Linked DNA regions of Rattus norvegicus. The protein of the gene in region 7 interacts with the protein of the main gene of each other region in a pairwise test. Links are inferred from orthologs where the notes say so. Each region holds a gene or a part of one and is shown on either strand. Other genes may lie near its edges.

The links.
Region 1: the proteins of Nutm1 (region 7) and Fam161a interact in binary tests that used the Homo sapiens proteins (3 or more experiments, as listed by UniProt). The two-hybrid records come from large-scale screens. The link is inferred for Rattus norvegicus from reciprocal best matches to the Homo sapiens genes NUTM1 and FAM161A.
Region 2: the proteins of Nutm1 (region 7) and Zfp277 interact in a two-hybrid assay, tested with the Homo sapiens proteins (2 studies listed by BioGRID). The two-hybrid records come from large-scale screens. The link is inferred for Rattus norvegicus from reciprocal best matches to the Homo sapiens genes NUTM1 and ZNF277.
Region 3: the proteins of Nutm1 (region 7) and Lmo2 interact in binary tests that used the Homo sapiens proteins (3 or more experiments, as listed by UniProt). The two-hybrid records come from large-scale screens. The link is inferred for Rattus norvegicus from reciprocal best matches to the Homo sapiens genes NUTM1 and LMO2.
Region 4: the proteins of Nutm1 (region 7) and Zmynd10 interact in binary tests that used the Homo sapiens proteins (3 or more experiments, as listed by UniProt). The two-hybrid records come from large-scale screens. The link is inferred for Rattus norvegicus from reciprocal best matches to the Homo sapiens genes NUTM1 and ZMYND10.
Region 5: the proteins of Nutm1 (region 7) and Cchcr1 interact in binary tests that used the Homo sapiens proteins (3 or more experiments, as listed by UniProt). The link is inferred for Rattus norvegicus from reciprocal best matches to the Homo sapiens genes NUTM1 and CCHCR1.
Region 6: the proteins of Nutm1 (region 7) and Samd4a interact in binary tests that used the Homo sapiens proteins (3 or more experiments, as listed by UniProt). The two-hybrid records come from large-scale screens. The link is inferred for Rattus norvegicus from reciprocal best matches to the Homo sapiens genes NUTM1 and SAMD4A.

What each region holds. Positions count from the first base shown.
Region 1 is NC_086032.1:101,216,873-101,221,009, reverse strand, and holds part of Fam161a (protein FAM161A), read right to left. Parts: intron 3,477-4,137; exon of another isoform or gene 3,440-3,476; coding exon 3,222-3,439; intron 1,160-3,221; coding exon 29-1,159; intron 1-28. UniProt on the Homo sapiens protein: Involved in ciliogenesis.
Region 2 is NC_086024.1:63,114,034-63,118,170, reverse strand, and holds part of Zfp277 (zinc finger protein 277), read left to right. Parts: intron 1-380; coding exon 381-448; intron 449-2,082; coding exon 2,083-2,179; intron 2,180-4,103; coding exon 4,104-4,137. UniProt on the Homo sapiens protein: Probable transcription factor. Involved in modulation of cellular senescence; represses transcription of the tumor suppressor gene INK4A/ARF, perhaps acting via the Polycomb group (PcG) complex PRC1.
Region 3 is NC_086021.1:110,824,163-110,828,299, forward strand, and holds part of Lmo2 (rhombotin-2), read left to right. Parts: intron 1-3,118; coding exon 3,119-3,334; intron 3,335-4,137. UniProt on the Homo sapiens protein: Acts with TAL1/SCL to regulate red blood cell development. Also acts with LDB1 to maintain erythroid precursors in an immature state.
Region 4 is NC_086026.1:117,097,161-117,102,057, reverse strand, and holds the start of Zmynd10 (zinc finger MYND domain-containing protein 10), read right to left. Parts: upstream 3,030-4,897; 5' UTR 2,927-3,029; coding exon 2,835-2,926; intron 2,598-2,834; coding exon 2,489-2,597; intron 1,407-2,488; coding exon 1,290-1,406; intron 1,201-1,289; coding exon 1,147-1,200; intron 1,060-1,146; coding exon 922-1,059; intron 812-921; coding exon 723-811; intron 629-722; coding exon 528-628; intron 125-527; coding exon 1-124. Other genes in the region: GATOR complex protein NPRL2, read right to left, coding at 4,678-4,745, 4,831-4,897. UniProt on the Homo sapiens protein: Plays a role in axonemal structure organization and motility. Involved in axonemal pre-assembly of inner and outer dynein arms (IDA and ODA, respectively) for proper axoneme building for cilia motility.
Region 5 is NC_086038.1:3,209,638-3,213,157, forward strand, and holds the end of Cchcr1 (coiled-coil alpha-helical rod protein 1), read right to left. Parts: intron 3,456-3,520; coding exon 3,410-3,455; intron 3,259-3,409; coding exon 3,110-3,258; intron 2,790-3,109; coding exon of another isoform or gene 2,779-2,789; coding exon 2,590-2,778; intron 2,512-2,589; coding exon 2,410-2,511; intron 1,609-2,409; coding exon 1,457-1,608; intron 1,347-1,456; coding exon 1,196-1,346; exon of another isoform or gene 1,035-1,195; coding exon 889-1,034; 3' UTR 746-888; downstream 1-745. UniProt on the Homo sapiens protein: May be a regulator of keratinocyte proliferation or differentiation.
Region 6 is NC_086033.1:22,810,285-22,814,421, reverse strand, and holds part of Samd4a (protein Smaug homolog 1), read right to left. Parts: intron 1,076-4,137; coding exon 874-1,075; intron 1-873. UniProt on the Homo sapiens protein: Acts as a translational repressor of SRE-containing messengers.
Region 7 is NC_086021.1:119,511,992-119,516,128, reverse strand, and holds part of Nutm1 (NUT family member 1), read left to right. Parts: coding exon 1-618; intron 619-2,443; coding exon 2,444-2,572; intron 2,573-4,137. UniProt on the Homo sapiens protein: Plays a role in the regulation of proliferation. Regulates TERT expression by modulating SP1 binding to TERT promoter binding sites.

The DNA.
Region 1 (4,137 bases), on a different chromosome or scaffold from region 7:
ACCAGGAGCGCCCATCCCAGTGCCTTACCTGATGGCTTGCTCGCGCCCTCGGGAAGACGCGGTGGGCATCGGAGGGCTGTATTCACAAGGCCTGGCGCTGGCGTGCGCGCTTCTTCTGGGGGATTTATGCCTAGGAGAAGGATTAGGCCTGCGTGTTTCTTTCAAAATTTCCTCACCCATTCGGATGTCTGCCAAGATTTTCTGTCTTTTATTGGAGTCACATAAGGATTCGTAAAGACAACACTGGTCACAAAGCACCGGGCAGTTCCGAAAGCTCTGTTCAGAGAAGGGTTCCTTCCATTTCTCCAAGCCTTGGTCACTGGGGCTCAGGCGCCTATGCCTGTGTTTACCCCTTGGCATTGCAGGACTTCTGGGGTCCCTGAAAGCTCTGTAAGTGGAGTGACTGGGCCAAGGCGAACTCTGCAGCACATCTCTGGCCTTTGGCTGTGTCCTGCTGTCCCCATAGAGCTCTTCCCTCTTTGGCTTGACATTCGCAGGTGGTCTGTAAATAAAACGAGGCACAGGCCTGGCTTTAAACTGCTTCGGTTTCTTCTTAGCCCTACAAAGTTCTCTCAGCTTCTTCTCACGGATTGCTTGCTTCTGTTCCTCCCTCGCAATGAACTTAAAGGGCTTCTGGGAGGCCAGGAGTGCGGCTTTGCTCCTCTCCCGGGTCTTCTTCCGACGCTCCTCGTTCTGCTTGACTAGATCCTCATAAAGGGGAAGGAGCAGGCGGGAAGGAACTGGATTGGCTCGGAATTTCTTCTTACACTCTGCATCGTCCTCATTCCTCTTGAGCATCTTCTCCCTGGTTTCCTGAGCATCCGAGGCCTTCTCTCTCCGCTTCTGCTCTCTTACCGTCATTTCAAAGGGCACCGGCACTGTAATCCTGGGCGTCCAGGCTTTAGGTTTCTTCCTGTTTTTCTTGGCTGTTTGGAGGTCAGAGTCATACTGAGTATAATCTTCAACAGAAAAGTCGTTCCACATGTTGTTTATGAGCTCCTTGGCATAGGACCTTGTTCCGATTTCCCCAGGAGTCTTTTTCTCTAGGTCGGGCAACTCATCAGTAGTTGTGGACAAGGAGGACGACCGGTCTAGGTCAGGCTCTGAAAGCGAGGTCGCCGACAAGGCAGGATGTGAGCAGCTCTTTTCCGATGCAGAACTAGGGAAGAAGAAGAATTAGGGCACACTTCCAATTTTATGTGGCCAAATGTTAGAGTTACTGTAACTGCCAATGTTATAAGATTAAGGTATAGTCAGCTAGAAGACGGCAGCACAGGGTCGTGACAATGTCGTTTTTCTTTGGAATAGAGCTGAGAGAGGACTGGATTATCTAACACACTCTGGCTTTTCAGAGAAGGAACTTGAGTCAGCTGCTCCTCGTGTCTTACTGTAATCATGCCTCTGTGTTTCCAGAGTCACCTTCCTGACCATGTCTGACCATGTTACTGCTACCTAACATTTCCATCTTCTTTGCTGTGAAGTCTGACCTACCTGTCAATCAGGACTGGCGCCGCTTACCCAGCAGCCTTACCCCTCCCTAACCTAGTCATCGTTGTTGAAGTCTTCTAGAAGACTGTTGTCTCAGTCCATTTAGTTGGGATGGACGACTTGGTCATTTTATAAACTATGCATATGTTGTCATTGTAAGGGATGATTTATAAACACTTACGGTGCTGAACAGGGAGGGAACTAAATATGGAGCTTAGACTCGGGGATTTATTTCCTTTTCTCTGTCCTTTCGCTCTTAGATAAAGGGAAGAGGGGTTGTAAAGAAAAAGGGGGGGGTTGGGGATTTAGCTCAGTGGTAGAGCGCTTACCTAGGAAGCGCAAGGCCCTGGGTTCGGTCCCCAGCTCCGAAAAAAAGAACCAAAAAAAAAAAAAAAAAAAAAAAAAAAAGAAAAAGGGGATATAGACATATTATAAGAAATTTGACAAATAGGGCTAGATTGTTTAATATACTCTTAAACAAAAAACAAAAAAACATTTTATAGCCATAATCTTACATTGGTACAGAATTCATCATCATCATCATCATCATCATCATCATAATACTGCAAGGCTATGTTATATTGGTACAAAATATAAGCTTAATTTTGGTACAACATAATATATTATGTTTTCAACTCTTAGATAGGCACTGTGCCTATGCAATTCATTTAAAAATGCAATTACATTTATAATGTCCAGTCCATTTGCATTTGGCAACTTAGATGCCAGTGGCCAATGGCTAGGCAGAAAGAAAGAGATGGGACTTCCAGGTTCCCACAGGTGAGGAGAGAGGAGAGGGCAGGAAGAGGAGATGGGGAGCCTTGGGAGAGTGAGACAGAGCAGGCTCGGAGCTGTAGGGGCATCCACCAAAATGTAGGTGGAAAAGGAAAGTGGCCCACAGAAAGGCAGCAAGGCCAATGGGCTTCACTGAGGCTGAGGGCAGATTTAGAGAGGGTGAGCTAGGAGTGAAGGGAAGGGCATGGTAGCCGCAGAAAGCTTAGAGGAGCCCAGCCATCAGAGCCAGTAAAGCAGTTTAAAAGTGAGCTGTGTGTGTGTGTGTGTGTGTGTGTGTGTGTGTGTCTGTCTGTCTGTCTGTCTGTCTGTCTGTCTGTCTGTCTTTCCTCTGTGTACTGGAGATAGTCACTGGGTGGGCGTGTGTCTGTGACCAGCCGGCAGCATAAAGCAAAGTAGCCAAAATTCCCACGACAGAGGCTGGCCAGGAACATGGTAAGTTCTAAGCCATCCTGGACTACATAGAGTACAAGATCATCTTTCAAAATTGGGGCAGCCTAAATATTTTGATGCATATCTGTAAGCCTGAGTAAAGCAGAGAGACACAGATGGGAGGGCTGGAGACATGGCTCAGAGGATAAGAACACTGGCTGCCCTTCCAGGGACACAGGCTTCATTCCCGGCACCCACATGGCAGCTCACAGGTCTCTATGGTCACCAGGTGGACAAGTCATGTAGACATACATTCAGGCGAAATGCATTAAAAAATTACAATAAAAAAAAAAAACAGATGGCCACCAAATGACGCTCAAAGCAAGAGGGAACCTAGTGAAATGATGCCAGTAAACACTGTGAATAAAATCCCACCTTTATATATCGTTAATACTGGGAAGGGCTATTCAGAAGCCGGTACTGTGGGTGCTTTCCCCCATATGTCGTCCAAGCATTTATCTTAGTTCAGTTCACAATGACAGTGACGACCATCTCTAGAAGAGACTTACCTAGAAGAATCATCCCCAACGAGCGCTGCCTGGATGTCCTTCATAGTTAGCTTGTCCTGGTACATTTTCTCTAATTTTACCATGGCCTCTGCATGGGCAGCCCTCAGGTCTTTGAGTTTCCTGAAGTACTCTTCATCAGAGTGGTAAATATCAGAGAAGTTCATAGTGTTCTCCAATGTCACCTCTTTGTCCTTCCCAGGAGAGCTGTGACAGCCTGCCTAATAGAAAGAGAATCCTGTTGTCTGCCATTTGAAAGTAAGTAACAAATTGACCCTGACCCAAAGCTGACTCTTGCAGAAGTCTCGCCATGTAGCCCAGGCTGGCCCTAAACTCCGTATGTACACCAGGCTAGCTCTGAACTAGTGATCGGCCTGCCTCTGCCTCCTGATCCCTGGAATCAAAGGCGGGCGCCACCATGATGGCATTTAATAATGGTCGGTTGGGCTCCTAGATACCTAACAGAAAATAGTCATGTGATGCCGCTACTGCGGAAGGCAGAGTGGAACTCGGTGGAACTCAGCGGCTACAAGGATTTCTACAGGAAGCCTCTTCTGAGTCGCGCAGGTTTTGGCTGAGAGGTGAGCAGCTGCTGCCCCTGTGCCCAGAGCCAGCTCCAGAGGGACTCCTGCCTCGGGGCTCCAAGGGTGTGCAGTGGGTGGGGCAGTAATGGGGCCCAGGGACAAAGTTCTCCGTGGCTCTCCAGGGAGCCCAGCAGGATGATCTTGGAGGGGAAAGGGATACAGGAGAGGGCAGAGGAGAGTCACCGCTGTGAGCAGCAAGGAGAGTGACACCAATGACACCACAGGTGGCAAACACTTTGTGCATGAAGAGAGCATGGAGTACTGTGTGGCTGGAGACTCCACACAGGACCCGACTGGAGCTTCTGATTGCCTGCCCCCAACTACCCATGGTTCCC
Region 2 (4,137 bases), on a different chromosome or scaffold from region 7:
ATTGAACATACTGCTAGGCAGTATTTCAGAGTCCTTTCCAGGAGCTCTTGGTGGTTTCTTTAAAAGGAAAAAAAAAAAAATACAGATCCTTAAGTGGCACTAATATATATTCAGGGTTGAAAAACAGTGATTTAAAATTAAGGAAGTGGGGTGGGAAATGGGAAGAAAAACGTGATTAAAAGGCTGTTTCTTCAGAAACAAATATGTTTACTATTTTAGTTTAGCATTTCAGGATTTATTCATCTCAATCATAGCAGTGAGTGGAAGCCATCAGAGTGGGTTTGGTTTAATGGTGGTGGTATTTGGGTTCGATGTCTGTTTTTTCGCTCTTTGCACCTCTTCTCCTTACTCTGTCTGAACTCTGCATTCTTCCTACAAAGGAACTCGGGAAGTCATGGGAAGAGGTGCAGTTGGAAGACGACCGTGAGCTGCTGGACCTTCAGGAAGAGTAAGGCACCGCACTGCTGCTGTCAGCTACAGCGTCGAAGAGCGGGCAGATGGTTCTTTAATTTGGGCTGTAATTACCATTCCAAAGAGGGACAATAAGAAGAAAGTCTCTAAGCCATACACCCTTTCATATAAGTGGCAAGGTTTTTAAATTAAAATAATTTTCCCATAAAAAAATCACTAACGATACTTTTGGGTGAGATTAGTTGGGGTTTGGGTTTGTTTTTATTTTGTTTTGTTTTGGGTTTGTTTTTGTTTTTGTTTTTGTTTTTTACTTTCTACTTTTTCATACAGAGAACAGGACATACAAATACAGAAATAATGTAAGAAATATGTATTGTCAGTGTCTTAGGCAAAAACCTACTGCAGATACAACGGTGCATACAGAAATCCGATTAAGACTCTGATTTCTTCATATTCTTTTCTACCATACATAAAAATATCATCAAAGGGAATTTAGATAAAGAAAACAAACTCACACTTTGAGTGGTCATATGTACTAATACATGTTAGACAGTCTGTTATGTGATTCTTCCATCCATCCCTTTGAAGTGGTAATGGTTTGGGTCTGATAGTGAGCTTGTCTCAGATCCCAGTTAGAGCAGCACTGAGAGAGACCTCACACTCCGTACTTTCCGTAATGGGCATTTCCAGTTGTCTCTCTGCGCCCTCTTTCCGCTTCTTCCCTGGTAATAAAAACCTGTAAGGATCAGGATTCTTTGGGGCCTGTAAGTAAAAGACTTCCACAGCCTGCCTTGCAGCTGTGTGTGCTGTGCAGCTGCACTTCGACTGCAGCAGTCGCAGCAAGTGAGAGTGCAGTGCCGGACACCACAGTGTTCCAGTGCCGTGGCATGCGTAGCACTGCTCCTTAAGGGGCTCTCCTGTCACTGCAATCTAAGTCCAAGAGGCACCACAGAAGAGAAGGGTTTGTTTGGGCTAATGGTTTCATGGCTGGGCAACCATGGAAGCTGGGTTCCATCACTGCTGATGGAGCTTACAACATAACTTTGCCATCTGCGGATAAGAAAGCAGATGCCTTGGGCCAGAACCTGAGCAGTTACAATCTCTACCTGCCTCCATGACCCTCAGTCGGCCAAACTCAAGCTTTCTGTTAAAACAGTATATGCCCTTAACCCCTGAGCCGTGTCTCCAGCCCTGCATGCCTTTTGAGTTACCATTCTACCACAAGATGTAACATTTGCCCCATTTAAAATAATCAGTGTTTCCCTCTTGAAATATAACTGTAGGCTTTAAAAAAAAAAAAAAACACGCAGTCCGCCATGCTGAAGCACGTCCGCTCACATCCTGTGTATTGGTGCTTGGGACTAATAAGAGAACGTCCCACCTCTTGATAGGTGTCCTTTTGGAATTAAATTTCTCTGTGTCCATTCTCAAGTCACTGTTCAAAAGAGTGGCAAATGGGGAAACCAGGGCAGCACCTACTGGCTGGCTGTCATCTCATGCTTGGAAATCCAGACTCTGTATCTGAAAGTCGTAATAGGATGTGGCAGTCTTTCCCAACATGTCACTAAATGATCAGTGGCATTTGCTAGGAAAGAGACACTAACACAACTCACCATGAGGTGCACCTCCAGTGAGAAGATGACCGTGTGTTCTGTCTTCTTTTTAACCTAGTGACTGGTCTGATTGGCAGGAGTACCCTGTCTCTGCTGTCTGCCTATTTTGTGAAAAGCAAGAGGAGACAATAGATAAATTGTATGTGCACATGAAGGTGAGATGTGTTTATCTTGCTTTAATTTTGTTTCATTCTGACAGCGTGGAGCTGGTAATCATTTGATCGACAGTAACTCGCTGGGATGGTTTATGTTAAGCTGACAGGACCTAGAATGTCCTAGCAAAGGAGCCTCTGGGTGTGCTTGAGGGCTTTTCTTGACTGATTCATTTAGGTAGGTGACTACGCTGGGTGTGGGCAGCACCACTCCATGGACCAGTCCGCAGCTGGTTAGGAGAAAGGGACAAACAGCAGCGTTTGTCACTCTCTACTTTGTTCTTTCTCCATGAAGGTTTGTTGTTGTTGTGTTGTTGTTGTTGTGTTGTTGTTGTTGTGTTGTTGTTGTTGTTTGTCAAGGTACATTAGTCTCAGTGTGGAAACAGACAGGAAGCCCACATCCTCCAATCATTATTCCATTCCAGAAAGTACAAACAGAAGAGACAGGCCAGATCCATCCAGGAGGGGAGAGTGTGGTGCAGGGTAGAGGGTGATTGACTAACCTGAGCAGACCGTAGCTTAGATGTCACGGCTCCCACCCTTAAGGGGCTTCCTTGATCACCGTAGCTCAGGAGATGAGAGATCTGCAGCCACAGTGACAATATCCAAATGTAGTGGGTTCTGGGGCCTTCTTTCTGCTCCTGCCTGTATTGTTGACTAAGGTAGAAAGAGCAAAAGTCTTGCTATTCACAAAGGTCAAGATCGAAGCTGCACATAATGTGACCTGAGAGCCACTCGGGGAGGAGAAACCAGAAGAAGCATCCGGCTCTGCTTCCCTCTGTGTCGTGTTTATATTGAGGTGACACTTGAAGCTAGGAATTCTGAACCTTTATTCACTTCAGTATACCCAAAAGATACTCCCTATGTGTTGCTCTGACCTTGGCTAGATGCTGGGGTAAAGAAAAGAATATCTAATGATATATGACAGTATCTCAACAGCATGGGAATAATAATTAATAATGATAATAATAATAAACAATATTTCTGTGGAGTTCTGACGTTCTCTGCCTGTCTTCTGAGTTGTGTCTGTCTATAGTTGGCATCTGTTTTTTACTCACCTTCAGTTCTCCTCATTGAGAAATACTGTTCTTAGTTCAACAAAATAAGGTCCTGGGCAGAGCTAGAAAGCCTATGGGCATATATTCTTATGAGTCGGTTTGTCTTTGATAGGTTACCAGTAGGATGGATATGTGGCCATTTATAGGTGTGTCACCATGTAGGGATAACATTCTTGGACTCCTCACAAGGATCATTGGTCCTGCTCATTGACATGCTCAGTTGGTAGCATGTCATGAACTCCTGAGCATCCTGCATCTACTGGTACTGCACAAAATGCTGCCACAGGGAACAAGATTGCTTTTCTGTGAGGTGATAGATTTGAACATTTACAGCACAGTCAACTGGAGAAAGGGGACAAGCAGAATACCATAAGTCTCTGTCTTGTGGCAGTCCAAAGAAAGGTTGGTTGATGTGAAATGTAAAAGTAGAACCGAAGAAACACATACACACACACACACACACACACACACACACACACACACACAAACACACACAACACACACACACACACTGACTGTGTGAAACATCACGTGCTTCTAGTTCTCTAAAACCTAGTTCTGTAATTGTGGTCCAGATGCCCTGTATGCAGGAATCACAACTTAACACACTCTTTTATCAGGCTAGATATTTTAGACATTGTAAATTGGCAAAAATAAGCTGTAACCAATTACAACGTTTCAACTAATTGATGCTCTGGATTGTGCTTTAGAGAACTGCTGACCATGGAGGAAGGTGGTTAGAATTAGAAGATATCAAAAGCAGAAGATGATGAACTCAGACTGCTTCTGAATCAGATGTCTGTTTATAGCTTTAGCCTGAAAGATTAAATAATTCGTATGCTTACAAATATGCTCCTTCCCTTTTTTAGGACACACACGAGTTTGATCTCCTCAGAATAAAGT
Region 3 (4,137 bases), about 8.7 Mb from region 7:
GTCTGGTCCTGTCCATATCTGTCCTCAGACCGGCATGTCTCGTTCTCCTGTATCTCACTCTCTTGCCAGCGGCCTCACCGAGTGCTTGCTCGAAGCCAGCTTGGATCTTCACCATCGCATCTCCAGATGCAGGTCAGCCCTTGCCTAGGCTTGTGCAAAGGTATCATGTGCACAGGAAGCCAGAACTCATGCACAGAGATTTCCTTCACCATGCAGTTGGTGATCCCTTCGGATCATCTTAATTCTGGAGGGCTTTGTTCTAGCTAAGTGCAAATTCTTCCTTTTCAAAGTTGGCTGGTAATAACATCAGCCATCTAGGCATCAAACATGATGGAAGACCTGTGGGTGATTCTGAAAGCCCAATGTAAAACCTTGAGCTATGCAAAGGGAAGAGATTTGATTCTGAACTGGTGCACTTGAACAGGCCAAGGATCTTGGTTAACTTTCAGATATGAGAATATGAGGCTGGAAGCCCTTATGTATACCCTATAGAAAAAAAAAGACTCTAGTGCCCCCCCCCATACACACACCAACAGGGATTCTCTTTCTTGCCCTGGCTGTCCTGGAACTCACTCTGTAACCCAGGCTGGCCTCAGACTCAGAGATCTGCCTGCCTCTGCCTCAAGAATGCTGGGATTTAAAGATGTGTGCCTCCACTGCCCGGCAACCCGGCAACTTCTAGTGTATTATTTAAACTATTTAAGGTCTTAGCCCACGTCACCCGTAACTCTATATACATGAGAGGCTGAGGCAGAAGAACTGTTCCAGACCAGCCTGGGCCTAGTGAGATCTTGTCTTAAAATTTAAAGGGACAGAAAGGACGTGTGAGCTGCCTCAGCTGCTAATGGTGCTTGCCCTGTGTCTGATGACCTGAGTTTGATCCCTAGAACCCACTTGGTGGAGAGAGAACCGGCAGTTCAGGGGCTAAGAGCATCTCCTACTCTTATAGGAGACCCAAGTTGGATGCTTAGCACCCATATTGGGTGGCTCACAACCCTCTGTGACTCCATTGCCAGGGTATCTGATGCCTATGGCCTTCTGGGGCACCTGCCCTTGTGTATATGTACCCACACACATACATACAATTAAAAATAAAATTAAATCCTTAAGAACAATGCAAACAAAAAGAATGGAGAAAGGAATCACAGTGAAGATCACTTACCTAAAGTGACGAGGGACCCGGGTTTGATCGTCAACACCGAAACAACAAACGACACCTAACACTTGACTTGATCATTGTTTTTCTCAAAGAAACTGAGCTTCGAACTTCCTGGTTCTTAAAGAAGGTAATCTTATATTTTGTGCTATAATGGTGGATTTGGCATTAGTATTTAGCTACATATTTACAACGGATGGGTCACCTGAAGATGCTGGAGTGCCCTGTGCACAGCCATTCCCCGAGTCTCACTGTCCCCAACTGTAATGCTGCTGAGCCTCATGGGCACAGGCCAATTGGGCCACAAGGTCACTTGGGAAATGTGCCAAATAAAGATCAGAGGCACAGACGTGTCGCCCAGGGTACCCAAGAGGAAACGCCATCGGACATTCCATCAAAGGAATGAAAGCTAATTTTAATTTGAAAAAAAAAAACCACTAGATTTTTTTTAAAAGTAGGTTTTATTTGAATAATGTTCCAGGAGCACATTAATTATTACAAGTCAACAAGCATTAAGTGTCTCTGTCTCCTATTTGCTATCACAATCCTTTCTCCCGTGCCATTTTCCCTCAGAAAAGTTATTTCTTCTTACATGTAAAACAAAAGTATTCAGGTTCTAGGAAGGCAGAGCAAGCAGAGGGCCCTATGTATGTGTATCTTTAAAATAGTTTTTACTGTTCGTGTGTGTGTGTGTGTGTGTGTGTGTGTGTGTGTGTGAGCACATGCACTTGCTCTCGCTTGCTTGTGTGTATATCTATATGTATGGTTATATATAGAACAACCTGCTGGCGCTTTCTTTCCACCGTGTGTGTCCTGAGGACCACATCAGATCATCAGGCTTGGCGACAAGCACTCTAACCTCATAAGCAGCTTGTGATTCCCAGCATACAACTTCTTAAATCCAAGAACACATCCCTCAGAATCACTGTGAGAACAGAGTGACTTTGGTATCAGTTTAATCGCTTTCCACTCCTTTAGGTCCATCGTGTGGTCCCCTCTTCCACTCTCTTTACTAATTTAATTTTATTCACACTACTTTTGCTACCCTGAAAAAGTATGAAGAAAGAAAAAACAACTATGTCTGCTATCTGTTAAGAATCACACCGTAACCTAGATTTCCTCCCAAAGATTCGTTCGGATCTAGTATTCTTCGAGACGGTGTCTAGTGTAGCCCTGAGCCTCTGGATGATGCTGATGAAATCCTGCTCCTCCAGGTTCCGCCTCAGGATGCGCTGGGATTATGTCCCCACTTTCCATGGCACTGGAGAGGTGACCGTTGGGCCTCTGATAGGTTAGGCCATCCCTCTACCTATGAAGCTCATCTCTAGCCAAAGATTCATGCAGAATGTAAGAAAGAATGCAAAAAACTTCAGTTGGAATAATTAGATATGGATGGAACTTTCGGTTTTGGAAAGAGACAGCAACCTGATGTAATCTCGGTGGCTTTCTTCTTCTTTCTCTTCCTTTGATTCTGTGCAATGGGAAGGGCTTCAGTAGGGTGAATCCAACAGATTATCTGTAGGTTTTAGCACACTGGGTCATCAGATGCTTTGACTATGAGCAGCTCCTTTGGTCCCAAAGTATATTCTTAGGATTTGGCAGTTCCAAAGAAGAAAGGGAGGGAGGGCTGGGAAGACGGAGCAGAGCAGGAAGGGAAGGTGGAAGAAGCAGACAGGATCAGAGGTGCCGACGAGGCAAGGGACCAACACTATCTGCAGGGCCTTGGACACCTCCTGGTATTCTGTCTTCAATTTTTCAGATGCTAAGATCTCTCTATCCCATTCCCATTTTATCCAAGGTTGCCTGTGTCTGTGCAGTCTGAGTTAGGGAGTCTTTTATCCTTATTTCCTGGAAGGAAATGTAGTGAGGTTCCCCACAGAACCCTGAGCATGGAGCAATTCCTGAGACCTTGTGCTTGTCTCCCTTTGGTGAGCTTTTCCTAATGCTTGGCCCCCTCCCCAGGGAACCCGTGGATGAGGTGCTGCAGATCCCCCCATCCCTGCTGACATGTGGTGGCTGCCAGCAGAACATAGGGGACCGCTACTTCCTGAAAGCCATCGACCAGTACTGGCACGAGGATTGCCTCAGCTGTGACCTCTGTGGGTGTCGGCTGGGAGAGGTGGGCCGGCGCCTCTACTACAAGCTGGGACGGAAGCTGTGCAGGCGAGACTATCTCAGGTAAATCCCTCACACTTCTGGGCACATCTGGGTTTGGACACATAGTCTCTGGCTCCCGCTTTGGCTCTGAGGTGTCTGCCTAAGGAGGCTAGGCTGTGGAGGCTGAACCTCCACTGCCTCTTCAGAGAAGCCGTGAGCTCTTCCTTTGCTGTGGCCATGTTTGCAGAGACACATCCCTGCATGGTAAATCACTGAGGTTTTTAAAGGTAAGAGAAGAATAAACACGGAATTCAGAATAAGGACAAAATTCCGTGGGGGCAGGATAGGGTTTGGAGAAGTATACGTAGGGAAATATCAGGGGAACTAAGGGAAGAGAGGGAATTCGCTTATAAGTTTGGGAGTGGGTTCTCATTTGATACTCAATGAACGTATGCATATATGTAGACATTCCTTTGCATGACTCCAATATTGTTGATGAGAACTTTTAAAATAGCATTCTGTTCTTGAGCCCTGAGCACTGAGTTTCCTAGCAGGAGGCTAGCATTCAGCAGTTACAAAGGTGAAGACACTGGAGTCGGGAGGTTTGAGGCACTTACTCACTACTTCATTGCTTCCTAGTACTGGCCTTAGACAAAACCTCGATTTCCTGCCTGTAAAATGGGTATAGTAACTGTAAGGTTAGAATGAAGTACTTGACTTGGTACATGACTTAAGAAGTAGGTGGTGGCTGACTTTATAACTGACAGGTGTCGTGGGGGCATCACAAATTATTTTCCGCTATAATGGACAAGGGGATGGTAGCGTGGAAGGGTGAGATAGGAAGTGTACCAGACCACGTGAGACAGAAGCATTTCTGAATGAGA
Region 4 (4,897 bases), on a different chromosome or scaffold from region 7:
GCCTCAGGACTGAGCAGTAGATTGTACAAGGCGATCCATACTTGCCCATCCAGTTTGTTCAGCTTTTGATGCTCTGAGGGGGCCACTGTCTGCCATCGGCCACTCTCAAAATGCTGCAGCTTGCCTGGGGAGGAGAATGAGGTGTTGTGTTCACTTTGAGAGTGTGTCGTCCTGGGGTTGGGGATTTAGCTCAGTGGTAGAACGCTTGCTTAGCAAGCGCAAGGCCCTGGGTTTGGTCCCCAGCACCGGAAAAAAAAAGAAAGAAAGAAAAAAGAAAAAAAAAAGAGAGTGTGTTGTCCTTACCTGGCATCGTTTGAAAGCCTGGACCACCAGATTTGTCAGAACAAGGTTGATTTTCAATAAATGACTCAGAGGCCTTGCCTGCCTCAGAGTCAAAATCTAGTCCCCTCTAGGGTGAGGCATCCCAGAATCCTCAGTGTGTATGCTGTACACTTCCATTGATCTTGAAGGAGGTTCCGGAAGCAACCAGTTACAGTCTTAGGCAAGTAGGGGGAAGAGAGCCTTACCTCCTTCCCGCCGGCTCCAGGGACTGTGCTCTAGCAGTTCCACCAGGAGGCAGGGCAAGTTGTGTGTGGTAAGCATTCGGTTCAGTGTGCTCAGGGAGAGGCTAGGGGTTCGGGAGAAGGGCGGTTGGTTAGAGAGGCTACGGGCCAGGACGCACAACCCTTTATCGTGTGCCCAGGACCTGGAGGGTGGCCCACCTATCCATGCAATCTGTGATGTATCGAAGCACGGAGAGGGCTTTCAGGGAGATCTCAAACTCCATCATCTCTGCCTGCTTCTGCAGCTCCTGGGGGTGGGGGTGGGTGGGCAGAGGCACACAGTATTCACCCTCCTCCCTGAGGAGGCCAGAGGGAACTCACATCGAGATTTTGCTAAGTCTGGGGAACCTGAGCTTACTTGCATAGGGGTACTGTCCTGGAACCGTTCTTCCTCAGACAGGTCACCACCGCCTTTCCGAGCCACTAGCAGTATCAGCTTGCGGTGGCAGTAGTCTACTAGGTCCAAGACCGTGTCATCTGCTGATTCACACACTTCCTGGGGGGGTAAGGGAGGGAATGATTCTGGGATTTGATGCCTTTCCCGACAGACAAGGAGTAGAGTCTTTCAGGGAGAATGTCTCACCTTGTGGAAGAATACTGTCTCTAGGAGATTGATGATGGAGGCCTCATGATGTACCTGTCGAAGAGAACAGGGCTGGGCTGAGAGGGAGAGGTGGGGCTGTTAACTACCTTTCGTGGCCTAGGACTCCTGAGGGCCCAGCTCACCACCATGTATATGGGGAAGGTGTTCTGGGGCTTGAAGTCCTCCAGCCGGCACAGCACCGGGAACACCTTCTGTTTCCACATCTCCACAGCAATCAGCTCCTCCACCAGCGTTGGGATCTGTGAGGGGCAGGGGAGGGGCAGGGGAGGGGCAGGGGTTAAATGGACTTGCCTTGCCTTCCCAGCTCTCCTGTCTGGATTTTAGACCAGGCTAAGTCTCAGCTCTCTTGGGTTTCCACTGAATGACCTTCACTGTGCCTTCTGCTTCTTACCCCACCTCCATCCAGGCATCTCCCCTTTTAGGGATGCTCTCCTCTTCCTGTCCTTACTTTGGTCTTTGTCACCTGGTCAGCTGGTTGGGTGCCTTGGCCTCACTCTTTTTTTTTTTTTTTTTGGTTCTTTTTTTTCGGAGCTGGGGACCGAACCCAGGGCCTTGCGCTTCCTAGGCAAGCGCTCTACCACTGAGCTAAATCCCCAACCCCACTCTTTTTTTTTTTAAGGATTCATTTATTATATATAAGTACACTGTAGCTATCTTCAGACACACCAGGAAAAGGCATTAGATCTCATTACAGATGGTTGTGAGCCACCATGTGGTTGCTGGGAATTGAACTCAGGACCTCTGGAAGAGCAGTCAGTAGTACTCTAACCACTGAGCCATCTCTCCAGCCCTTGGCCTCACTCTTACTGAGACCCTTTACTGCCTTGCTCCTAGACCGACCCCTGCTACCCAGCTCTGTCTTTCTCTTGCAGGGGAGTGAGTACCGCCCTTGGCCCATCCTCCAACCTGGCATCTTCCTGGCTTGCTTCTACTTTCTCCTCTTGTGTCAGAAAGGCTACCTTCCCCATTTGGAAAGCTGCTTCCTCCTTAGTAAGGAGCTCTTTGGCCTTACAGTCAGTTCAGGCTCATGTCAGCACTTGAGTGCTCCCCCTGGAGTCTAGGATCCACTACAATAGGAAATGTAGCCAGGTACAGTGAGGCACGCCTGCAGCCCCAGCACTTGTGAGGCAGAAACAGGAAGGTAATAAGCTCATGGCTGTCTGGGCAACAGATCGACACCTTACCTCAAAATGAAACAAACATATTTTTCTTTCCCACTTAGGAATGACAGGTGTCTGGGGTCGGAAGGAAGAACAGGGGCCCAGTGTCCCCCGAGAGGTACAGTAGGAAGGTGGAAATCCTGCCTGGGGCCTGGATCTACCTTCCCGTGGGTGACCAACAGTTCCTGGATGGGCTCAGCCTGGCTGACAGTTGCATCGAGGATGGCTTGCATGTTCAACTTCTCCAGGTTCTCATGTTGCTTACTCCACCTGCCCCGGAAGAGATGCATATGTGCATTGGGTGTCCAGATGTGCAGCGGGAGTGAGGGTGGGGCTGGATCCTACTAAAGCCTACCATGATCCTGTCCCCAGGCCCTACGCTTCTATCTCTGAGAGCTTTCCCTACCCACCTGGAGACCCCTCCACACTGGCAACCCCTTCTCCAATGTCAGTCCCAAACTCCTCCACTAAACGACCAGGTGACTCCACCTGTTGCAGCTGCCTCACCCTTCAGATCCCATCTCCCGAAGCTGGAAGCTGTGCAGGCCCTGCACCAGCACCTCAGCCTCCCCAGGCAGCAGCAGCTCCAGGTCACCCATGCCAGGGACCAAGATTCCTTTGGCTTCAGGAAGCAGTCGGAATGGAGAAGGAAAACTGAAATATTTAAGGACGACAGAGTCCAGCGGCAGGACCAAAGTCTTGGGACAGAACAGTTGCTAAGCCGTTGAGGCGTGTGAGTCCTCGTCGCCACGGAAACGAGGGAGCTTGGCGCCTGCGTAGTTTTGTCCCGATGCCACGCCCACCTCACCGCCAATAAGCAGCCCCAATGCGAGACCCACTCACCACATCTCTCTGGGGCTTGCGCAGCTGTGAAGTAACTCGGATCCTCACCAACTCCTGCAGCTGCACTGTCTTAGCCGTTTCTGCAGCCGAGTCTTTTTGTTTGTTTGTTTGTTTTTTGTTTTACTTTATGATACAGGCTGGCGGGGAACTTCCTATTTATACCAAACTGGCCTTCAAGTCAAAGAGCTCCACCAGTCTCTGTCTCTTTAGTGCTGAAATTAAGGCATGCACTACCGTGCTCAGGCCAGGAGCCCTAATGATGTACATCTAACATTCTTCCTGGATCCCAAAATACTTGACCACAGTCACAGTGGTTTGCCAGCTACTCCCAAGAACCTGCCCTCAGCCTCTCTCCTACCCCCGCGCTTCAATTTTTGTCCCACCTCTTTTACTTTAAAAATGTTTGTGTGTGGGCCATCTCCCCAGCACCTCTTCCTCTTTTTTTTGAGACAGGGTCTCATAGCCAAGACCAACATGAGCTCGCTACAGAATCAGGGCTGGTTTACATTTTTCTTTTTCTTGGTCAGCTTCCCAAGTGTTGGGGATTCAGGCGTCCACCGCCATGCTTGTTTCCCATGTTCCAGCCTTGTAGGCTTTCCCTGGACACAGGGTCTGACTGTGTCACCTAACTTGGTTTTAACTCGTTATGTAGTCCAAGCTGTTCTTGAACTTGGGGCAAATCTCTTGTGTCAGTCTCCTTAGTGTTAGTATTATAAGCATGGGCAAACATGTTTGGCCCTTGACTTATTTCTTCTGGAATAGTCTTATTCCTTCAGGGTTCAGCTTAAGTCACCCAGATCTTCCTTGGCAATCAGTTTACAGGCCAGAGCTGAGTACTTGCCTGTCTCGCATGCACAAAGCCTTGTCTTCAATGCCCAGGACTGCATACGTGGGCTGTGGGAACAGAAACCTATAATCCTAATCCCCAGGAGACCAAGGCAGGAGAACCAGAAGTTCAAACCAGGAAGTTCCAGGCCAGCCTGTCTATATAAGAGCCCGTCTCAGCTCTATCGGCTACTCACCACCAAAACAAAAAACCAAACCATTAAAAATCTAGGTGTGGCTAGGCGGTTCAGTGCCTACCTTTAATCTTAGCACTCTGAGGCAGAGGTAGTCAGCTCTCTGAGTGCGAGGCCAGCCTGGGCTAAATAGTGAATCCCAGGACAGCCAGAGTTACATGGTGAGACCCTGTCTCAAAAAAAAAAAAAAAAATCAACCTCCTTCCCCCTCAAAACAAACAAACAAAAATAAAAATAAAACAAAGCCTCTTGGCCTGTTTATTGACATTTCTGTCCACTAGATGGCGCTCCAGTCAACCCAGTCGGTTGACATAGCTTTCACATTCACTGGCCTTTATATTCCACAGGATGAAACACATGACTTTATTTACAAAACAGAGGCTCACCCCTCCAGACCACATGTACTAGACTACTTGTCTAGCTCCCATGGACCAATGAGGGCTTAGTAGGGGCAAGTAACCACAGTAATATGCTCCAGCCAGCCAGCCTCACTTCCAGCAGATGATGATGTTTGGGTCATTTTCTAGTCGCTCGTCCAGCTCATGGTAGCTCATGCCTGGGGGTGTGAGCAAAGCAAGGTCAGCAGGCCTGGCATGGCCAGTCAGTCCTCCCCTCCCCCCACCTGCCCTGCCTGCCTCTACCTGTCTTGCAGCAGATCTCATCATAGCTGTGACAGCCTGTGTAGAGCCGGGCAGGGTGGCTTCGTTC
Region 5 (3,520 bases), on a different chromosome or scaffold from region 7:
CCAAAGAAAGTAACTTTTACAGTAAAGGAGGACAAAGAAAACTTGGTCTGGGTAGCAATAGCACAGGCCTTTAATCCCAGCACCGGTGTGGTGTGGTATGGTGTGGTGTGTGTATGCGTGTGTGTGTGTGTGGTGTGTGTGTATGCCTGTGTGTGTAGTGTGTGTGTGGTGTGTGTGTGTGTGTGTGTGTGTGTGTGTGTGTGGTGTGTGTGGTGTGTGTAGTTGGGGGAGAGGGTTGGGGGGGCACAATACAGTAGCAGGCAGATCTCTGAGTTTGAGGTCAGCCAGATTTAAGGAGTGAATTCTTGATAGCCAGAGCTAAACAGAGACCCTGTCCTAAAAAAGAAAGGAAGTGAGGGAGGGAGGGAGGGAGGGAGGGAGGGAGAGAGAGAGAGAGAGAGAGAGAGAGAGAGAGAGAGAGAGAGAGAACACACAGACTTGGGAAGCAGAGGTAGGTGGGTCTCTGGTTCAAGGCTAGCCTGGTCTACAGAAATAAGCTCTAGGACAGCCAGGGCTATCTTAAATGTCAAAACAAAAAACCAAACTAACAAAACCACCACCACCAACAACAAAATCTGGGAGATTCTCAGAACACTTCCAGAGCAGTTAGGAAAGGTTTGGAGAAAGGTACCCTCAGAGGAAGGGCAGGGTTAGGAGGATAATCGTCTCACAGCCCCCCACCCCCCACCCCCCAGGGGCTGGCTCCAGGGGAATCCCAGTCTCCCAGACATCTCCAGGAAAGGACTCCATTCCAGCCATCTTTATTCAGTACAGAGTTTGAACTTGGTGGAAGCTGGGGTCCCAAGGCTTGCTGGGGAGCAGGGCCAGGCTGGCCCCACCCCATGTCCTCCCATCCAACCCTCCTGGGGATCCAATTCCAGGCTAGCTTCACTCCTCCTCCTGACAGCTCCGGCCCAGCAGTGGATTGGAAGGAGGGCTCTTAGTGTTCTGGTTATCTTCCAGACAAATAGCGTCGTCTCTGGAGATGGCCTCGCTCAGGCCTTGCAGGTTATCAAGCAGGACAGTCAGGGAGCCTGACAGAGGAGACATTGCAGAATGGACACGGGGGTGAGAGCAGGCTGCACAGGCTGGGAGGCCCTGAGGGAGGATCCTGGGCACACAGCAGCACAGATAAAAGGCCAAGGGCCTCTGGGGCTCGGGCCTGAAATTCCGCGTGCCCTTCAGTGTGTTCTACCTTTCATAGACTCCTTGCACGGTGAAGCTGCTGCAGACTCAGGGGGCTCTACAGGCTGGGAGCTGCACTTCTTACTCACTCCCGAGGGAAGCACTGCTAACAGGCGCTGCTGCTTGTAACGGGAGAGGAGACCCTCTTGCTTCAAGGTGGCCTGGGAAGGAGAGGGTCAGCCACACCGCACTGGCCCAGGCCAGGCCACCCGCCCCTCCACACCTTTACTCAACCACCAGCTCCCATGACCAGTTCCCTGCTGTCCCCTACCAGCATGAGGTTCTTGTCCCTCTCCAGCTCCTGCACTCGCCGTGTCAGCCGCTGCCCTTCTTCCTTCCGGGCCTCGTCCTGCAGGCGCCTGAGCTCCTGATTCCGCTCCTTTTCCAGAGTGGCTTTGTGTTGGATCTGGCGCAAGGAAACCACTAAGGAGATGGGAGTGGGTTAGCCCAGAGCCCCAGAATGAGACTTGAGCTCTCAACTCTCTCGGGGACTCTTCCACACCATGGGTGGGCTGATGTCATGGGATCCTCATCCCCGATGCCAGTTCCTTAGGCAAGACCTGGACAGGGGCCGGAGTGACACTCATGTGATCTGTGTTGCTGCTGTCTTGAGACAGGTTCCGCTATGTGGCCCAGGCTGGCCCTAAACTATTGAGACAGGTTCCGCTATGTGGTCCAGGCTGGCCCTAACCTACTCTGCCCCTTACTTTCAAAGGCTGGGCTGGGGTGACAGGCAAGTGCCGCCATGTGTGGCTAGGGCTCGTGTTCTTACGACACTGGTAGCATGATTAGAGAATTTTCTATCTGTGAGATGTGCAGCTAAACCATCATGTCTGCTGCAACTTACATGACTCAAATGTCCACACGTGTAAGCACGGACATAGGCAAGCGAGCAGGGTGTTAACTGTGTCTCCACTCAGGGAAGACACGAACATCCATCCTGTTCCTCTAACTCATCCAAGTGTTAGGTCTCTAGTGAGGGCAGCTGCCAGAAGTGACGCCACAACAGTGGTGTCCACTGAGGGGCAGTGACGCAGGCCCGGAACCAAAGCTGTTCCTGAGCTGGTGCTGGCTGCGGTGTGTTCACTGCGTAAGAATTCACTTATGTCAGTCCTACGGTACGTCACTACATACACGTGTCAACAAAAAGCTTGAAAAAAGTCTGGGGTGAGATGGGATTGGCAGCCCTGTGTCTCAATGCTGCCTTCCTCCCGCACATCTCACCAGCCTTGGCCTGCTCCCTCCGGGCCTCGTTCAGCCTCCTCTTTGTGTCTGAGAGCTGTTCCCGAAGCCGACTTTCCACCTCCGCCACCTTCTCTTGCAGAGCTGCAGTTGAGGGCATGAGGCAGTGTCAGGGGGAGCTGCCCGTCCTGCAGGGTGGCACACACTGCCACGCCCCCACACCTTGCCCGTAGATCTCCTGCTGCTGGGTCAGCTCCTGACGGAGGCTGGCAGCTTCCTCTGTGCTCTCCTGCTGGCCTTGACGGGCTGCCTCCAGCTGCTGCCCAACGCTAGCCAGGGATTCCTGGGCACGCTGCAGCTCCTGCTCCAACTGCTGGGCTACTTCGGTCAGGTGCCGGTGCTCTGCCTCTCCTGAAAGGGAACTGTGGTCACGCAAGACCTCTGCTGGCACCAGAGCTTCCGCTGATCAAGTCTCCTCCAGCCCCGCTCAGGCAGGCAGGCAGGCAGGCAGGCAGGCAGGGCAGGGCAGGGCAGGGCAGGCAGGGCAGACAGGCAGGCATGCAGGCAGGCACACAGGGCAGGCAGGCAGGCAGGGAGGCAGGCAGGGTAGGCAGGCAGGCAGGGAGGCAGGCAGGGCAGGGCAGGGCAGGCAGGCACACAGGGCAGGCAGGCAGGCAGGCAGGCAGGCAGGCACACAGGGCAGGCAGGCAGGGCAGGCAGGCAGGCCGGCAGGCAGGCGTACCTTGCTCCCGTACCCGGCCCACCTCCTGTTGGATCAGGTGGGCACTTAGCTGCAGTTCTGCATCCAAGCGGTTCCGTTCTTCCCGTAGCTGCTCCAACTCAAGGCTCAGGTCCGTGTCCGGTGGGGGTGCAGGTTCAGGTGGGGGACAGCTGGGACAGCGATGATGGAGTCAGAGAAACCTCCCCAGCAACTGAGTGACCGGTGCCTCCACCCCTCCTTGGTCCCTCTGGGTCCTAGCAGCCAACAGGTTGTCCCCAACATCCACACACACCCCTCCACCTCAATGTGCCCGAACTTTACCTCTCCAGGCGCAACTGAACAAGAGCCAACTTTCGAGCCATCAAACCTGAAGAGAAGAGAGGACAGACAGATGAGAACACGTGGACAGAGGGTGGCGGGGAGCACAGGACA
Region 6 (4,137 bases), on a different chromosome or scaffold from region 7:
CCTTCTCCCCATCTCCAGAAGCCTTTTTACTGCATTTGTTGCTTAAAGGGAGTGTGTGTGTGTGTGTGTGTGTGTGTGTGTGTGTGTGTGTGTGTGTTCTTAGAAATGCTTATAGCAAACAGTACAATGAGTTTAAGGCTCTTTTTGAGACTCCCCAAATTTACTCTCTACTGAGGAGAAAAGAGGACTCAGTACTGGCAACAGGCCTGTGTCATTGCAGCTCATGTGTCCTGCGGCGACCTCGCCTAGAACTGATAGCGGGGGTGGGGGGGTGGGGGTGGGGGTTGGGGGTTTCTTAGACACGTCCTTCCCATTGGGAGAGGATGCCACCAGCCACCTCCTGGTGAAGCCTTTCTGTTTTAAAGCCAGCCTTTCATCAGGCCTGCTTGTGTGTCCCCAGTCCCAATGGGGTTTAGGGAACGAACACTTAGGGAAAGACAAGGTTGGGCTCAGGGGACAGAGAGAACACTGTCAATCTTACAGCAAGGGACAGCCTCCCCAACAGTCCTGTGAACTCACCATTGCATCTGGGACTGTGAGGAAAAGGTCAAAGAAAGCTTATTAAATGCCCAACCAGACTGGGAAGGTGATGGTATGTTGGGGCAGGGCACAGATCAAGCAGAAGTAGACTTTTCATGCCTGTCTACAAAGGCCCATGTAGAACTAGTTTTCCCAAGCAACAGCCATGGGGTTTCAGTTTCCAGGGAAACAACACCAACAGTGGTTACCTAGGAAGCATAGACTCGGCTATCCCCCTGGTTTAGATCCCTTGGGGTCATCTCTTTCGATCTGGAGACTGTCCAGGTTAGGGACATCTTAAAGCCTCGACCCCTGAGCTCTGTCAACCTCCCTGATCCCCAGAGCAGAACAAACCTGTCTTCCTTGTTTCATGATGGTGGGGTTGGCAGCAGTGTGGCGCTGGTTGGAGCTGACAAATCCACTGGTGCCCAAGAGACCAAGGCGGGCAGAAGGGACGTTCCGAGATGCGATCTGGTACTGTCGTGGGTTCCGTCTACCCATGCCACTGCCCACAGAGCTGGCCGTCGGGAGGGAGTTGGACTGTCCAAAGCCACGACTGTGAAAGCAAAGAGAAGGGATCCAGAGGCATGCTCTAGCCCTACACAGCCCAGGCTGCCTGCCAGTGGGGGCCTCTTTGGGACTGACAGTTAAGTGGCTTGGGGGTGCCAATAATAGGCTATGATTGAAACTGTACCTCATATCTAAAACAACAGCACATGCTAGATGTTGGAGCCTGCACACTACTCTTAGTCCACACGACAACCCTAGGAAGTAAGCTTCCTAATCTTCACAGAGAGAAAAACCCAGAACGCTTGAGAATTTTGACATCGCCACACAGCCAGCAGGGGGCAGCACTCAAATATGAACCCAAAAGGGGAGACCATTCTCCTGCGTTCTCCTATTCTTGTCTCAGCCAACCTGTGGGTCTGTGCATGAGGGCATGGCGCCTTTCAAGAAGCCACAAAGCAAAAATAGTCGAATCAGTATCAGAATGGGATCTGATTCCGTTTGTAATCTTCTCCTTCTTCCCCTATAGCATGGTTCATTTCTTATCAGGTTGTCGGTGAGCAGTCTTGGATGGAGGGCCCGATTGAAATATGAGCTCTGTAAGAAAGGACTGCGTGTGTCTTCCTCAGCCCCTAAGGCCCAGCCCCGAGGCAAGGAGACAGCGTTTTGCACAGTATATGCTGTTTGAAAGTGGGCCATTGTGATATTTCTCCAAATGAGAGGCCACTGGTGTGTGTGGCTGACTCACACACACCCAGGATAGTCCGGTCTCATCGTTCCCCAGACCTTTCCTGCAGGGCGGGCCTCACCAGGGCTGGCAAGACTTCGCTTTTCAGGTCCACACAGGAGACTGCTCCCAGTGGGGTCAGATGAGCTCAGCGGAGAAGCCTCCACCAGCCCCGGGCTTCTGGGAGGCTTCAGGAACCGGCGCATTCTTTCCAAGGGAGTCAGGGAGCTTTAGTTATTCGGGAGCGTGGAGAGGACATGCGTTGCAGGCAACGGCCACTAGATGGAGCAGGGTCGCTTGGTTGCCAAGCTGGGGAGTTTTCTCTAAGCTTGTGAGGAGCCCCTGTCGATGAGCTGACTTAGCTTAGCCGGTGGAGGTCCAGGGGGCCCTTCACAGCAGTCACTTCCTGAGCCAGAGCCGGTTGTGTGTGGGTGTGGGGGAGGTGGTGCTTGAGGTGGCAGTGTAAAAACTCCCAGAGTTTCTAAATTTCTTAGGGAGAGAAGGTTCAGGAAAGGAATCCAGGGAGTCTATCTTCTTCCAGGCTTTTGTGGCCAAGAAAGGTGTTCTAGATTCCATTCTGAAGAGGAGGTTCTTCTTCTCTTGGCTTCTTGGTCTCTTTGTTTAATCTCATCTCCCCTTTCCTCACTGAAGACTGAAAATCAGGGTGAGGCGAGCTAAGAGTGCTTCCATGCAACCAGAGACGCCAGGGAGGTAACTTGAAAAAGTAGCAGCAGGTAGGGATTCCGGCTCTCAGCTGTTAAGAACTGGTCCTCGGGCTTCGGAAGTCAGAATTTGGGCCTCCTGGCAGATAGACGATCAGTATCTGCTAAGACTCCCCAACCCCTTATTTAGTGTGAATAGATTTTTCTCACTTCCCTCTTTGGCTGGATTTTTAGAAGGCAAAACAGTAGTGGATGAATGTCGTGCTAAAATGATTTGTTCTTCCACGAAAGCAACAATGTAGCTTGTAAAAAAATTTTCTGAGACAGGGTCTCACTAGGTAACGAAAGCTAGCCTCAAACTATCCTGTCTCAGCCACCCAAGTGTCTGGGACTACCCAGAAAATCAGACCTGGATCAAGACTGTATTTCCTAGCTACATAAAGGGCAGAGGGGCTCTGTTAGGGGCAGCCATTGAAGAATGGAGAAGCTTGAGATTCCTAACTCAGCTGTTTGGGAGAAGGGAGGAAAGCCCAGAATATTCCAGGGTCTGGGGTGGTGGTGGTTACAGCACAGTGGAGGCAGAATTTAAGAGGCCATCTTTTTCCTGGTGGTGGAGTCCTGCTGTGGGGTCCTGAAAAGGTTACTTTTACAAAGCCAGGTTTGGCAAGAGAGTTGCTGCTGCTGCTGGGAGCTGGAGTGAACTCTGAGGTCAGTTAGGAGCGCTCAGCTTAAGGAAGGAGATTGCTCTGCTTCCCAAGGAAAACCAAAGAGCAAATGAAGCTCCCATCCTCAGACCCGCTCCCCTCCCCCTCCCCCGAGCCCCGGATGCCTCACCTTCTCCCCTTTATGAGTCTAACTGATTTCCTTTCCTTGAAACGCATGGAAAGTCTTTGATAAAAATAACATTAGTAAGAAGCAATTAATTTGGGATTTGAGAGATAATTTAAAGCAGGGGCTTGCCTGCGGTTACTCTTGTATGGGAGAAACTGTTTTTCAAAAACAAATTAACAGTGTAAAAATATCCCCGAGGTGGTGCAGGGAACAGAATGTGTTTCATGGGTTTGGCACCACCTTTTTGCACATCCATAACTGGTCGATGAATTCATTCTTATCTAGTCAATAAAAAGACTCAGATGTGGCAGACCTCAGGCTAGCCCCGACCTAGCTAGCATGGGCTGATAAGTCTGTAAAGGCTCAAGCCCTGATCAGGCTTCTCCCACAAGGCAGACAGAGGCAGGGGATGAGCTGCTGGTGAGAGGAGCTTAAAAGCCATATCTTCAATTTCTACTTCAGAATGACTTCCTCTAGGGTCTGTCTGGTAGGGCAACTGGATCTGGAGACCACCTCGCCTGGGAGTGGGAGTATTTATCACCCACAGAAATGGGAGAGCTTGGTGGCAGTGGCAGCCCAAGGCAGTTGAGGAGCGGGTCTTGTTTTGCATCCAGGCAGCTGATGCAAAACTGACCTGCAGCCCATCGGAGTAGGCCTATCCTCTCTATACATCAGGCTGCGACCAGAGCGGTCGCCTGGCTCTGCGGTGGTGAGGAGCGCTGATTTGGTGCCCAACACTGGCTAGCTTGCTCCACGTCCTGGGCGCCTCTGCCTATCCATTTATCTGTAAACTAAGGTTAATAATAGCAATTCTGCTTCATAGGGCTGTTGTGAAGCTGGAATGAACGAATATATTTTTAGTGCTCAGAAACCACTGGGCTAACTAAATGT
Region 7 (4,137 bases):
CATTCCACCAGACCAATCCCTCTGGGAGCCATCACCACAGCCCCCTATACCGCCTGTCTTCTCTCCAGGCAATCCTCTGCTCCTTTCTGCTTTCCCCAGCCCATTGTTGGTGACAGGAGAAGGAGGCCCTGGCCCCAGTGTGGCTGGAACTGGCCAGGTCATTGTCAAAGTCAAGACAGATGTGGGGCCAGCTGAGTCCTCTCAAACTCAGAACCTTATAGTTACTCAGACGGCCCTAAACTGGATTCACTCAGGTGCTCCCTGTGGGAGCCAGGAGGGGCCTCCTCCTCGATATGTGACAGCCTCTAATGTGAAGACCATCCTGCCTGCCGTGGCTGTTGGAGTGAGCCAGGAGGGCCCTGCAGGACTTCCCCTGCAGGTACTACCACCAGCTGCCCAGCTGGCTCCCATTGTGCCCCTGGAAAAGCCCTGGCCAGGAACACAAGCAACAACCATGGAAGGAGGTCCTGTGGCTGTTCGGAAGCCCTCTCAAGGTGATCTTGCCTATGCTTCCAAGGGCGTTTATGAGAACTATCGTCGCTGGCAGCGCTACAAAGTCTTGGCCCGGACTCACCTATCCCAGAGTCCTGATGCAGAAGCTCTTTCCTGCTTTCTTATGTAAGTGGGGGTGGGGGTGGGATATCCAAGGTTGACTTTTTTTTTCCTAGGGCTTTTAGAGAGAACTCTAGGGTAGATGCAGTAGTTTTGGCTCCTCCAGAATTTTTTTTTTAAAGATTTATTTATTTATTTTATGTGAGTACACTGTCACTCCCTTCAGACACACCAGAAGAGGGCGTCAGATCCCATTAGAGATGGTTGTGAGCCAGCATGTGGTTGCTAGGAATTGAACTCAGAATTGTTGAAGGCAGTTGTGAGAGTGAGAAGACACTGTTCAGAGAATGAAAAACAGTGCTACGTTCTTCCCGGCTTATAAGAAGTGTTCAGGTACCGTTTCTCAAAGAATGCCTACAACTTTGTGAAGTCAGGCAAGCATTTTATGGTAATCCTGAGAAGAATGAGAGACTTCCTGTCATAAAACAGGAAGCAGAAATTGGCATGTAGGTCCCTGACTCCAAAAGTCAGGGCCCTGCCTGCCTGCCCTCTGACACTGAGATGAGGTGGGCTGGGCCCTGACTCGTTCCTGTGGGAATGAGGAAGATGGCATTGGGTCGGGCAAAGACCTTAGTGTGTGTGAACTCTGTCTGCTCAGGAGTCAAGGAGAAACGGGGAGAGGGGAGGCACAGCTGGCTCCATATATACTAGGTGTGTGATCCAGAGCAGGACATTTAACACCTTTGCCCTGAGGCTCCTCATCACAAAAGGGGGTAATTATACCTATCTCCAAGGGTTGATCAGAAGATTAATGGTGCTTGGCAAAGTGCCTGGCATAGAAAATGAATCATTCAAATGGTCATTCTTTTATTAATACTATAAAAAGGCAACCTGAAAGAGGAAGGGAGCCCACAAAAGGCCAAAGTATCCCTCCTTTAGGTTATGTGCATGTTTAGCCACGATGCCTGGAGTTACAGGCTGTGTTTTTTTGTTTACATATTAGTTATTAGTCCTCTTGGAAATTTTCTCTACTTTCCAAGCAGACTGGGTAGCTCTCAGCTGAGACACCCCATCCCCATACCTCTCCAGACTTTGAAAACAAATGCATCCTCCCTTCCGGTGGCTGGGAGAACTTCTTTGTTCCTAAAGTCCTCCATAAACACCACCTTACTGAGTTCCTGGTTTCTTGAGATGGTTCTTGAGTTCTCTTTGAAGACCTGGTGACACAATTTTTAAATCTGGAACCAGTATGAGCTCTCGTGGTTTGCATACGGCTCATCCCCTTTTGTTTCTGGCCAACTCCTCCTCTGCACAATTCCATGCCGTGGACAGGATCTTCTGCTGGGCATGATCAAGACTTACAGCAGCCATCCGGGAAGCTGATTCAATGCTCAGTTCTGGGATCCTGGCTTCTAAATCCCATGGTTATAGCAAGCTTTCCTGGGTGGTTCGGATACTCAGTAATGTTTAAGGACTTAAAGAGAAGCCAGGCAGGCTAAAATGAAGTCCTTGCTTTAGTCTGCACACTCGATTTCCACTGGAGCTTTCCAGAAGTAATGGTCCAATATCCTATTTGAAAATTCATGATGGTGGGGTTGGGGATTTAGCTCAGTGGTAGAGCGCTTGCCTAGCGAACGCAAGGCCCAGGGTTCGGTCCCCAGCTCCAGGAAAAAAAAAAAAAAAGAAAGAAAAAGAAAATCCATGATGGCATTCTGGGGAGATTTGCACCTCTCAGTGGGAAGGGCGGCAAGAGTGAGGGGAGGCTCTGGAGATCTTATTAAAATGGGACATCCTAGATTTGGTGAGAGACGGGGCTATGGACTGAGGTGGGGGCATCAGAACAGGTGCAGGGCACACTTTTACAATGTGTCTGACCTAATGGGGGTTTTAGCCCAGTGCTTCGTTCCCTGGCCCGGCTGAAGCCTACTATGACCTTGGAGGAGGGACTGCCGAGGGCTCTGCAGGAATGGGAGCGTACCAGCAACTTTGACCGGATGATCTTTTATGAGATGGCAGAGAAGTGAGTTTGATGAACCCTCATTCACCCTGCAGGGGTTGGGGAGTGGTCGAATGTAGGGGTAGCAGAGACAGGCAGGTGTATGTGTGTGTATGTTGGGGGAGGGAGGAGGGTAATCGTAGCTTCAGCAAGATGGTTCAGCGGGTACCACAAGCCTGTACCTGGGTTTGATCTTCAGGATTCACATGGAGGAAGAAGGGGCTCCTAGAAGCTGTTCTCTGAGGTCTACACATGCACATTGTACGCATCCGTGTGTACACATACATACGTACATACAGACATACAAATAAGTGGAATAAACTTTGAAGTAGAATAGTGTAACAGGAGGAGGGCTGTAGGCCAGATGAGGGTCTCCTGGACCCATCTTGCTTCTACCACCTAAGCTGTCTGTTCTTGAAAGCTCCCCTGCCTCCAGGTCTTGGATCTATATATGGCTTTCATATTGAAGGTGTTAGCATAGGTTTGAACCCAGGGCCTCTAAAAACCCCTCACTGAGAGAACCTTACCATGAAGGCTTTTTGGCTCACTGGACAGCAAGTGGCTAATGATCTGGAACTTGACAAGCACTTTTCCTTTCATGGTTTGTTTTGCTTTTGTTTTTAAAAATAGCACAGAAAACTCGTTTTCCCCCATTTCCAGGGAGGGACCAACTCTGGAAGAGGTTGGCCAGAAGAAACAGGGTACTGGATACCCAGAGTGGTCTCCTGACTCTTCATTCCCCATTTCTACAGCACAGCCATGTCCAAACACAGGAAATTTGGCTGGCTGTGATGTTGTGGGTCATCACGCATGGCCCTAAGGCTGTTGTGGGAGTATCATTGGAGGCCAGGAGTTCAAAGCCAGCCTGGCAACATAGTGAGAATCCTTATCACAGTAACTGAGGAAAGAAGCATTTCCTCCAAATGTATCTTTTTTTTTTCTCCCCCTGAATCTGAACCCTCAGCTTCCTAGGTTTACCCTTGAGGACCTGTTCTAGCCTTTGCACTCTGGTGGGCTCTGCTTCAGAAATTCTGCCATCATTTTCAGTTGTAGAAAGGGACAGATGAGGCCATCAGGAGCAACCCTTTAGAGTGTACCTCTAGGTTACACGGGCCAGTTACATGAAGTAGTAATTAATTAGTCAGGGCACTGGGTGAGGTTGATATGGCACAGAAGAGGGTATGCTGTACATCACCAGTTTCTTTAGTTAGCTTCCTGAGTAACCACCGAAGGTGAAGAGACAATAGAATAGCATTTTCCAGAACTGTCATTAGGCTACAACCTACCCGTGAGCAGCTTCCCCTGGCCGTCCCAACTTCAACAGGATTTAGCCAAAATGAGGGTGCATGGTTTCCTGGCCATGTGCGGATGCTGCCTGGTGTCTGTGTTACTGATGGGATGGATTCTCCTTCTCACCACAGTCTGTATGCTTTTTATTTAAATGCTAATAATTTTATGTGCACTGGTATTTTGCCTGCGTGTATGTCTGTGTGACAGATTTTAGAGTTACAGACAACTGGGAGCTGCCATGGGGGGTGCAGGGATTTGAAGCACTGAGCCATCTCTCTAGCCCTGCCCGTTCCTTCTTT